3 linked regions of the Cricetulus griseus genome follow. The protein of the gene in region 1 interacts with the protein of each later gene in a pairwise test. Links are inferred from orthologs where the notes say so. Each region holds a gene or a part of one and is shown in the gene's direction. Other genes may lie near its edges.

What was found.
Region 2: the proteins of Pcbd1 (region 1) and Tff3 interact in binary tests that used the Homo sapiens proteins (3 or more experiments, as listed by UniProt). The two-hybrid records come from large-scale screens. The link is inferred for Cricetulus griseus from reciprocal best matches to the Homo sapiens genes PCBD1 and TFF3.
Region 3: the proteins of Pcbd1 (region 1) and protein N-terminal glutamine amidohydrolase interact in binary tests that used the Homo sapiens proteins (3 or more experiments, as listed by UniProt). The two-hybrid records come from large-scale screens. The link is inferred for Cricetulus griseus from reciprocal best matches to the Homo sapiens genes PCBD1 and NTAQ1.

What each region holds. Positions count from the first base shown.
Region 1 is NW_023276807.1:344,783-348,869, reverse strand, and holds the start of Pcbd1 (pterin-4-alpha-carbinolamine dehydratase), read left to right. Parts: upstream 1-1,282; coding exon 1,283-1,336; intron 1,337-2,942; coding exon 2,943-3,074; intron 3,075-3,467; coding exon 3,468-3,548; intron 3,549-4,087. UniProt on the Homo sapiens protein: Involved in tetrahydrobiopterin biosynthesis. Seems to both prevent the formation of 7-pterins and accelerate the formation of quinonoid-BH2. Coactivator for HNF1A-dependent transcription.
Region 2 is NW_023276806.1:259,488,051-259,490,888, reverse strand, and holds the end of Tff3 (trefoil factor 3), read left to right. Parts: intron 1-2,177; coding exon 2,178-2,323; downstream 2,324-2,838. UniProt on the Homo sapiens protein: Involved in the maintenance and repair of the intestinal mucosa. Promotes the mobility of epithelial cells in healing processes (motogen).
Region 3 is NC_048603.1:29,479,132-29,482,701, reverse strand, and holds part of protein N-terminal glutamine amidohydrolase, read left to right. Parts: intron 1-1,085; coding exon 1,086-1,185; intron 1,186-2,561; coding exon 2,562-2,612; intron 2,613-3,570. UniProt on the Homo sapiens protein: Mediates the side-chain deamidation of N-terminal glutamine residues to glutamate, an important step in N-end rule pathway of protein degradation.

The sequences.
Region 1 (4,087 bases):
ACAGTTGGCTTAGGAGCCGCCCTGAAAGAAGAGGGTACCAGGTGGCACAAGGAAACTTCAGAGCTGATGCTCCTCATCTATGGTTTCCTAAGAGAAGCATATGTCTCACCCTGATACTGGAGTTGTTAGGGTCAGAGCCTGGGCCCTGGCAGCCCTAACAAGCCAGACCCGGCCACCTGTTGTCTCTGTGCCAACTAAAGAGACAAGTCATCGCAGAGGGGCTGGAGAGATGGCTCAGAGGTTCAGAGCTCTTACAGCTCATGCAGATAATCTGAATTTGGCTTCCAGCATCCATATCAGGTAGCTGACAACAGCATGTAACTCCATTTCCAAGGGATCCAATGCTCCCTTTTGGCCTCCATAGCACCCACATGCATACTGTGCACATAAACTCTCTCTCTCTCTCTCTCTCTCTCTCTCTCTCTCTCTCTCTCTCTCTCTCTCACACACACACACACACACACACACACACACGAACTCACACATACATAATACATACATACATACATACATACATACATACATACATACATACATCGTTTTGAAAATTAAAACAGTGGCATGCAGAACAAGGTGGTGATTGTATTCGATACGGCCACACTGGGAAGAGAAGCCAAGAGGTCCAGGATCCTTCAAGTTCATCTTCGAGGGCAGGAGAATGCCTAACTAAGCGGTTGCAGTGAAGGATTGGTCACCTTCAACATGGTCTGGCAAGTTGTCAGAATGCTATAAAATCTTTTTAGTAGACAGGTTTCTCGTCTGGCTGGCACCAGATCTCAGCCTTTTCCTTCTCCTAACAAGATTCCTAGGGCAATTTCGATTTCTGGGGGTCCATTGTTTCAATAGTCTGACAAGTTCAGTGGAGGGACACAGTGTCTCCCTTTAGATATCCTCTCTTCTGCCAGGAAGGTTACAACGGTGCACTTTACCTTTGTGCAATTCAGTGTGTGTCACATTTATCTGGGTGGCTTTTGTCTTTGTCGTTGTTATAACAACAGGTCAGGCCGTCTGGCACTCAGAGTCCTCCAGCAGACAGACAGCAGCGTGAGGAGCCAAAGTCTTTGCCCTGGAGCCCATCACGCAGCCATGCTCACAGAGCCCAGGGCATAGAAAGCGCTGGAAGGGCGTGGAGCAAGGAGGACCCACGTTAATCATTACCCAGCAGCGGCCGGATCTCTGCCCCGCCCCCGCGGTGGCCTGCTGCTTGCCGGCTGCTTCTCCTTCTCCCTTCCCTCTCTGCCGCCACCTGCTACCCGCCCTGGACATGGTAAGCTCAGGAGGTATGGCGGACCCTAAGCGGGGATCGGGAAGTGGGGCGAGGGCTCCGATGCTGAGGGTGCGGGCAGTGTCGGCACGTCGGGCTAGGGTCACTTTGCCCTCAGGGGTGCTGGGGTGCCGATAGGGGAGGTGGCAGCGGTGGCAGGCCTGGAGAGACTAGAGCCTGGCCTGTCTGCTGGCGGGCTCCGGCTGGGTGTGGCAGGAAGGCGGATCTCCATGGCCTGGTCCTGACCCTACAGGCTAGCTGGTCCCTTGGGGTGCTAGATCTTGCTGGCTCAGTTCTCTCTGCACCCCAGTGCGGTCCCCGGCCTCGCGCCCCGCCCTAGCACCTAGCTGGAATTCTGTGTCCCACCTGGGTGTGGAGATGGGTCAGGTCCTTTGGAAAGGGGTGCTAGACACAGCAACTCTTCCCAAACAACACAGTTCTGTGCACCTCCTTTGGAACAGTCGGGGATTGGGAAGGCATTTTGGCAGCTGTGGCCTGGGAATGGTCATTGGGGACCAAAGACACAGGCTTGGATAATCAGTAATCCCTGGGCCCACACTGCCAGAGGCTGACAGAGCTTTGCTAAGCAAACAAGGCCCTTACCCTTCTGACCCCAGAGTTCAGAGCGCTGTCATTCTAAGACTTGGAGGTTCTGGAAAACTCTAATGAGAAAGTACCACCCCATCCTCTCCCACACCTCCCTACATCCCCACCAGTCCACCTATACTCACCACTCCTTTGGGAGGAACAAACAAACAAACAAAACTCAGTGGGTTCTGGTGCCCTGTTGATACCTGGTTGATATGTGATTACAAGGGGCCAGCTTATCAACCATCGGAAGGACCAGATCTGGAAAGACCTCCTGATTAACCACAGTGAAATCTCTGTTGTCTTCTCTACAACCATCCCTTGTCAGTGCAGGAGAGTGATGAGGTGGAGCCCCTTGTTTGTGAGAGCACACATACCAGTGATGGGTCTGTAGGCCCCAGTGCTGGCCTGGAACAGGTCTTCTTACCTGAGGAAGAGCTTTTTCAATGTTAGTTTGTACTTATGATCCCAGCATTGGGGGGGCAGAGATAGATGGATCGCTGAGGCTCAATGCAGGCCAGCTTAGCCTACTTGGTGAGAGAACTTGTCTAAAAAAATAAGGGGAGAGAGTTGCTCAGTGGTTACGAATACTGGCTTCTAAACCAAAGGACTTGGATTTGGTTCCCAGCACTCCCGTGACAGCTCACATGTGATTCCAGTCCTAGGGCATTCCACACACTCTTCTGGCCTCTTCAGGCACCAGAATGTGAAGACTAAAACACCCTTACACATAAAACATTTGAATGAAACAATTTTTAATTAAAATAAAGGCAAATGATACTTGGAAATGACATCTGACATTTTCCTCTGGCCTCTACACACATACATGCACACACCCACACAAACACATACACCAAAAACCAAACAAACAAAAAACCCCAAACCAAATATAGGACCCAAGAGCCTATCAGTAAACCAGCCCAGACCCCGCCTCCTGGCAGGACACTTCTCTGAAAACCTATACGTCTGTTGCTTGCTACAGGGCGCTTATATCCACCGCAGCCAGCACCAGTTGAATTCCTCCCAAAGGTCTGGGTTATGTTCTTGACCTATAATAGAAATGCCCCGGGGCCTCTGTTCTCTATTCTAGGCTGGCAAGGCACACAGGCTGAGTGCGGAGGAGCGGGACCAGCTGCTGCCAAATCTGAGGGCTGTGGGGTGGAATGAACTGGAAGGCCGGGATGCCATCTTCAAACAGTTCCATTTTAAAGACTTCAACAGGGTATGTGGAGTTGGGGGCTTACCAGGGCACACTCCGTGTTCATGCCATGTCCTGTTAGGCAAGGGGAAATACATATCCAAGTGACCTGCAAAGAGAAGGGCCTTGGACCCTGCCTTCCTGGAACTCGAAGTCCTTGAAGGACAGTTCTCCAAAGGATAACAAGCACATGTCCTTCTGAAGGCACTTCAATAAACAGCAAAAAACTGGCAAATACTAACAGTCTGTGCTGTTTGTACCACATAGAGGATGTTAGTAACATTATCACAGGCCTCAGGATCAGGGGCAGGATGTCACAGGGGAGAGGACTAGAGCTCCAGAAGTCTCTGGAAGAAGCTAGGCTATCCTCCTGTATCTAGGCCATGACAAGGTCTGGGTCTTCCTTCTTTTTATCAGGCTTTTGGCTTCATGACAAGAGTGGCCCTTCAGGCGGAAAAGTTGGACCACCACCCTGAGTGGTTTAATGTGTACAACAAGGTGAGTGAGGCTCCCCGACTTGCCCCCGTTCTGCCCTGCCTTGCCCTTGTACATCTCAGAACCCCAAGTCTTCCTGAAGGTTTGATTTGGACCTGACTGTGGGTCTTTCCTTACCAGTAAGTTGATGCCCACTTTGTCTATCCCCTTCCTAGAGCTAACAGAGACTCCCCACAGACAACCAGTCTCACTGCTGATAAGTGGAAAGAAAAACACTTTGAATGATTGTGGCCAGGCATTAGGAAGGTGAACCCCAGGAAGGGAAGCCAAAAGGAAGGGCATACCCACTTTAAATAGCACCAATGGCTTTATTCTAGATGGAAGAATGAGAGAGCAACAAAACCGAACAGCAGATCAGACTGTCTTATGAACATGCTAAGAGTTCTGCTGAACTGTTTATAAAAACCTGAAGGATGCGTTTAGGAGCCCACCTTTGGTTCTGATTTTAACCTTTGTCTTTAAAAGCATGTTTTTAAACATTTGTTTCGTGTAGTATATGGGCACATGTGTGCTGTACATGTGCAAGTCAGAGGACAACTTGT
Region 2 (2,838 bases), on another chromosome or scaffold:
CACACACACACACACACACACACACACACACACACACACACACACACACACGGTGGAAACTGGTGTGAAGCAGAGTCACCATGGAGCTGTGGCACTGGACTGATTTTGAGCCTGTTTTTATCAAACATCTATAGTTCCTTGTCACCTGACATGCTCACAGCAGATCAGTGGACAGATGACTGTGCTTGTGCCCTTGTTCCTCCCTGCTCTCCTGCCTCTCTTACCCTCTCTAGGAAGGGAGGGTGTTGCAAGACAAATACCCTGAGAATCGCTGGGTTAGGTCATGTGCAAACAGCAGATGTCCAGGCACATGGGTGTCTTGCCAACCCTGTTTTACCCAAGCCTAACCCACCACATCTTAGTGGGGCACCTACTGTGAGCCATCTGTCACAACCAAATGCTGGCTCACCTTCTAAGAGGTCACATCTCTACAAGCCACCTTCCTGGGCTGGCACCCAAAGAGGCCAGATGTGCACTACGGCCTGGTAACAGACTACAGTGCCCCAGCTGAATGGAGGTGTGCCATGGGCAGGCTCCTCTCCTTCAGCAGAGCCAGGGGAGGACTGAGGATAGTCAGAGGCAGTGGCAGGAGCTGGCCATTGCCCAAAGATTGGCAGGTCACTTGGCTCTGGCTCCCTTCCAGGTACTATCTCACTACCCCTGCAAGGACCACCAGAGGTCCAATTATCTTGCTTGGTGATGCCAGCAAGGATGCACAGTGCCTCTTGCAGGCTTTGGAAGGTTCACATTGCCCGGTGACTCCAGAAGAAGGCAGCCAGGTGCTGGTCTTGTAAGCCAGGCAACCCTGGTGGGGATGACCCATTCACCTTGACCTTTCTTTTCTTCCCAGAATGCACATTTTGAAGCAATCCAAGCTCTGGGAAGGAAGCTCTGCACCCTGGACCCCTGCAGGAGGTGTGGCTGAGGGCAGCACTCATCCCTGCTCTGCTCTCTCTGCTGCTGGCCATTATAAGAGCCTGGAGTCCTGAAGAATAAAGACCCCACACTCAGCACAAGGCTGCTCTGATTGCTGAGACCTCTGCTCTTGTGTATATTTCTGTCATTCTTGGGGTGTTGGTGGTGAAGGGTCACATTACACTCAGGACAGGTTATCTCAGGGTCATGGGGAACTGACCCTAAGTTCCTGCAACACACTGAGAGCCAGAGCCTCCAGCCAGGAGCCCTCAAGGCAAGCTTCTGAGTTCCCTCTATTGCTGTGATGAAACACTCTGAGATAAATCAACTCTGGGGAGGAAGGGCTTATCTGGCTGACCCTTCCAGGTCACAGTCCCATCACTGAGGGAACTCAAGCAGGAACTTGAAGCGGAAACCAGGAAGGATGCCTCCTGCTGGCAATCTTGGTCTCCTGCTCAGTTGACTTGCTTATAAATCCCAGAGATGGTGTGACCCAAGGTGGGCTGTGCTCCTCCTCCTCCTTCCTCCTCCTCCTCATCTTCCTCCTCCTCCTCCTCCTTCTTCTTTTTTTTTCTTTTTTTTGGTTTTTCAAGACAGGGTTTCTCTGTGGCTTTGGAGGATGTTCTGGAACTAGTTCTTGTAGACCAGGCTGGTCTTGAACTCACAGAGATCCTCCTGCCTCTACCTCCCAAGTGCTGGGATTAAAGGCATGCACCACCAATGCCCGGTGGGGGTTGTGCTCTTCTACATCAATGAACAAGACAGACAATCCCTGCCCCAGTCCCAGGAAGGCCCATCTGATGTCAAAATGCCCTCAGCTGAGACTGCTTTCACATGTGACTCTAGACTATCAAATTGAGTTAGAGCTAACCAGGACAGCAGGCAGGTAGATCCTTCAGCAGCACATTTTCTCTTTAAGCTGAGAAGGTAACAAACCAACCAACCAACAAACAAAAAACATCCCTCCTACAAGATTTACAAATCCTTTACATCTTTCTTATTAAGAAAGCATACTATGAAAAGCACCTACTATTCTGTCCTTGTCTGTATTCATCTATTTAACATCTGCCTCACTACAGGTGCACCCTGCTTTTAATAGGCACAGAACAAGGGTCTGCATCTCACATCCCTACCCAGTGCCTCAGCTGTTTGGTCCCCCACCTTCATTTCCTTGTGTGTCTTTCTCTGCGCCCACTGTGGGATTTCGAGTTTGGAGGCTCCTGCTTGTGCTGCATGGCTGATCCTTAGCTCGGCTCCCACAGGGCACCCTCTGGAGGCCACATCATCCATGCTACTCTATGTCCCAATTACACAGCACAGGGGCCAGAAAACATTGCTTCTCGATGAGCTGGGGTTCCATGGTTTCTTCTCCTTGGAAAAGGCCTTGGTCCCCGTGCACTTGGAATGATGACTCAATGTGATCTTTGGGAATTGAAAAGCCCCAAATCAGCTTTTCACATAGAAAGCCTATCAGACTGACGGGTAGAGTGACTGTCACACCCCAGATGCACAAGGGAAACAGTAGGTATCCAGCCCTCATAAGACAGCAAAGTCTGGAGACAGATGTTTGAGCCTGTATGATAGGCAAAGCCCCCTGTCTTTCTGGCACCTATTTGCTTTTATAAAGATTTATTGGGAGCAGGGCCAGTATTACAGTGTCCAAGTGGGACACTGTTATCCAAGTGCAGAATTTTGACACTTTGTTTGTTGCCTCTCTCTGCATTACTTTTGATGTTTTAAATGCTGATATCTAACTTGATGGCTGGTTTTCTGTACATTTCCATGCAAGGTGAATAGTTTACATAGCACTTCAGCCTAGTCCCTACCCTGCTTAGTGACCTTGGACTTGGGAACTCCCACCTTCAGAGCTCTGGGCAGCACATCAGAAGTGAAGTGTCACTGCCCTAGGCTCAAATATAACTG
Region 3 (3,570 bases), on another chromosome or scaffold:
GACTTTCTCCACTTAATCGGTGAAGAAGGAAAGATTTGGAGAGATCTCATGGGAAGGACAGGACTGACCCCGCCTGGCCTCTGCTTCCTGGTGCAGGCCCCCTGCTCTCTGCAGAACACTGCAGTATCTTCAGTTCTGGTGAACTCTCACTGTGCAGGGTGCCTGCGCTTAGGAGCGGGCTTCACACGCCTTCACCTTGACGTTGAGTGCTTGGAAACATGCATGCATGTATGTATGTAGTGTGTGTATGTATGTCTCTCATGTCTGTCTGTCTCTAATTATGCAATTAACAAGGCTCTAAACCACACATGGAGCGTGCCTGTAGTTCACAAGTACTCAAAAGGTCACCACAAGTTTGTGGCCAGTTTGGTCCACACATCGAGTTCCAGGTCAGCCAAGGTCTACATTATGAGACATTTGTCTCAAAAAGGGAGGAAGGAAGGAAGAGAGGGAGGGAGGGAGGGAAGGAGGGGACGCAGTCTGCATAAAGATGCCATCATATAGTTTGTCAGCTACAACTAAGGGACTAAATTCTATATCAAATCTAATTTAAAACATTCTGTCAAGAGCTTGGCGGTGGTGGTGCACGCCTTTAAGCCCAACATTCCAGAGGCAGAGGCAGGCAGATCTCTGAATTCAAGGCCAGCCTGGTCTACCGAGAGAGTTCCAGCATAGTTAGGTCAGTTACACAGAGAAACCCTGTCTTGATAACCAAAACAACCAAACAAAAAAGTCCTGTGACATTTCTCTATTAATTGGGATTTCTGGAGGGTTATGGTGTACGTGAAAACGTGCATTTTATAGAGGAGACAAGCGGTTCTTAGAGAAGACAGAATACAAAGCTGCTTTTCTTGTTAGTGTTGAGTTTGGATCCCAATGGTTTCTCAGCTTCTGGAATCCTGGCACACTCTTTTACAGGTCATAGTCTTCAGTGGGTGTGGTCCTCTGTCTGGATGCGTGCACAGTACAGGTTGGCTAGCAGCTTGTTGACTGTGCCTTAGAGGAGAGTCACTGTTACCCAGCTCTCTGATGAGGTGGTTAAGGTCCTTTCCAATGATATGGATTAAACAATTATTTTATTTTAGCGAGGAGAACATTTGGAAGCTCTGTGAATACATCAAAACCCATGACCAGTATCCCTTGGAAGAGTGTTCCGCTGTCTTCATATCAAATGAGAAGAAGATGGTAAGTTGGTGAGTGATGGCGGTGACATCAGAAGCTCAGCGCAGTCTGGAAGCTATTCTGTTCTCAAATGTGCTTTGTAACAGCAGCCTTTCAAACAGCTTTCTTTTTCTTCATTAGATTTGGTTCAGGAGAATTTGGTCCCTTGCTTGTAGGTAATGAAGTATGTAATGGCATGTTTATGTAGAATGCACAAGCAACTTGCTTTTTGCAACAGAGTCTCATAGTGTAGACCTTGGCTGACCTGGAACCCATTGTGTAGACCACGCTGGGCACAAACTTGTGGGGACCCTCTGAGTACTGGGTTTATAGGCATGCTCTGTGTCTAGCTTGGGGCTTTTTTAATTGTATAATTAAGCCATATAACTCTGATTTGAAGTAAAGATTTGTGTCTGAAGTTTGAATAGAGCTGGAGTAAACTTTCAGGGAGCATTAGAAGTAGCCCTTTGGGATTTCCAAACACTTTTGTGGACGTTGCCTCATTCGGGGCTCTTAGAAGTTCTATGAAATAGGCAGGGTCTAAACGACTTTCTCTGTTTTACTTTATTGACTTTACTTTTGTTTTGGAGACGGGTCGCATGTATCTCAGCCCACTAGCTTCACAGTCATCACATAGCTGAGGCTGGGATTTCAGGCACGAGCCTCCGTGACCTGCTAACTTTCTCCACCTAATCCGTGAAGAAGATGAGATGCAGAGAGGGCTCATGAGTAACTGAGGACTGACCCCGCCTGGCCTCTGCTTCCTGGTGCAGGCCCCTTGCTCTCTGGAGAACACTGCAGTATCTTCAGTTCTTGTGAACTCTCACTGTGCAGGGTGCCTGCGCGTAGGGTTTAGATTTTATTCTTTCACCTTGATTGCTTAGAAACAGAAACGTTTTTGACTTCAGAATTTAACTTAATTTATCTATTTATCCTGAAATTGGGTCTCACTATGTATCCCTGACTGGCTTCAAACTCAGAGGACCACCTACCTCTGCTTTTGAGTGTTGGGATTAAAGGCATGTGCAACTATGCCTGGCTAATTTTTTAAAATGTTTACAGGTGCTTTGCCTACATACAGGTCTGTGTACCTTGTGTGCACTGTGCCTGCAGAGGCCAGAAGAAGGGCTTGGATCCCTTGGACCTGGAGTTAGAGATGTCTATTAGCTACCATGTGGGTGCTGGGAGCATTCTGTCTTCTCCAGGAGCAGCCAGTGTGTGAGTTGCCATGTGGGTGCTGGGAGCAATCCTAGGTCTTCTCCAGGAGCGGCCAGTGTGTGAGATCTGCTGTCCCATCTCCCCAGTCCACTAAGGAATAGTTTATTACTTACTAGTGTATTGGTGGTATAAAGAATCTAGACGGGTTTGAATGAGACTCACGAATGTCCTCTGTTTTGTAGGTACCTATTTGGAAACAGCAGGCAAGACCTGGGAATGGACCTGTGATCTGGGTAAGCTGGCCACCTAAGAGCCTCTGATGCAGTGTTCCTTGTGGCCTCTGAGTAACCAGTATGCTGTGGTGAAGCAGAGTTGAAAGGACTCTAGAGAAAGGCCATGACAGTCATTAGTAAAAGGATCTTTTGAGAATGGATGTTATTCTGTCTGTGGCAGAAGCTCTGTGGACATATAGTTGTCTAACTTTTGTTTTGGGATCTATAATGGTTTGTGTGTGAAAAGTCCTCTACGGGCTTCTGTGTCTGAATTCCTGGTCCCTAGCTGGTGAATCTATTCTGTGAGGTTGTGGAGCCTCTGAGACCCGAGGCCTGGCTGGTACAAGCGTGTCAGTGGGAATGGGCCTTGAAGGTTGTACCTACTTGTGGTTATAGCCTGTGTTCTCCCAGACTGTTGTCATGTGAGGAACAATTGTCTCGTATTCCTGCTGCCATGAACAGTCACTCCCATCATGCCTTCCTCATAGGATTGGTAGACTGTAGGATTGGTAGACTGTAGGATTGGTAGGCTGTAGTTGGTAGACTGTAGGATTGGTAGACTGTAGTTAATAGACTGTAGTTGGTAGACTGTAGTTGGTAGACTGTAGTTGGTAGACTGTAGGATTGGTAGACTGTAGTTTAGACTGTAGTTGGTAGGCTGTAGGGTTGGTAGATTGTAGTTGGTAGACTGTAGTTGGTAGGCTGTAGGATTGGTAGGCTGTAGGATTGGAGAATGTAGTTGGTAGACTGTAGGATTGGTAGACTGTAGTTTAGACTGTAGTTGGTAGGCTGTAGGGTTGGTAGGCTGTAGGATTAGTAGACTGTAGTTGGTAGGCTATAGGATTGGTAGACTGTAGTTGGTAGACTGTAGGGTTGGTAGACTTGTGGGCTATCTGTACACAGTGTGAAGCTGTATTGCTGTGATTGGTGTCATAAAAAGCTGATTAGCCAGTAGCTAGGCAGGAGGTATAGGCAGGAT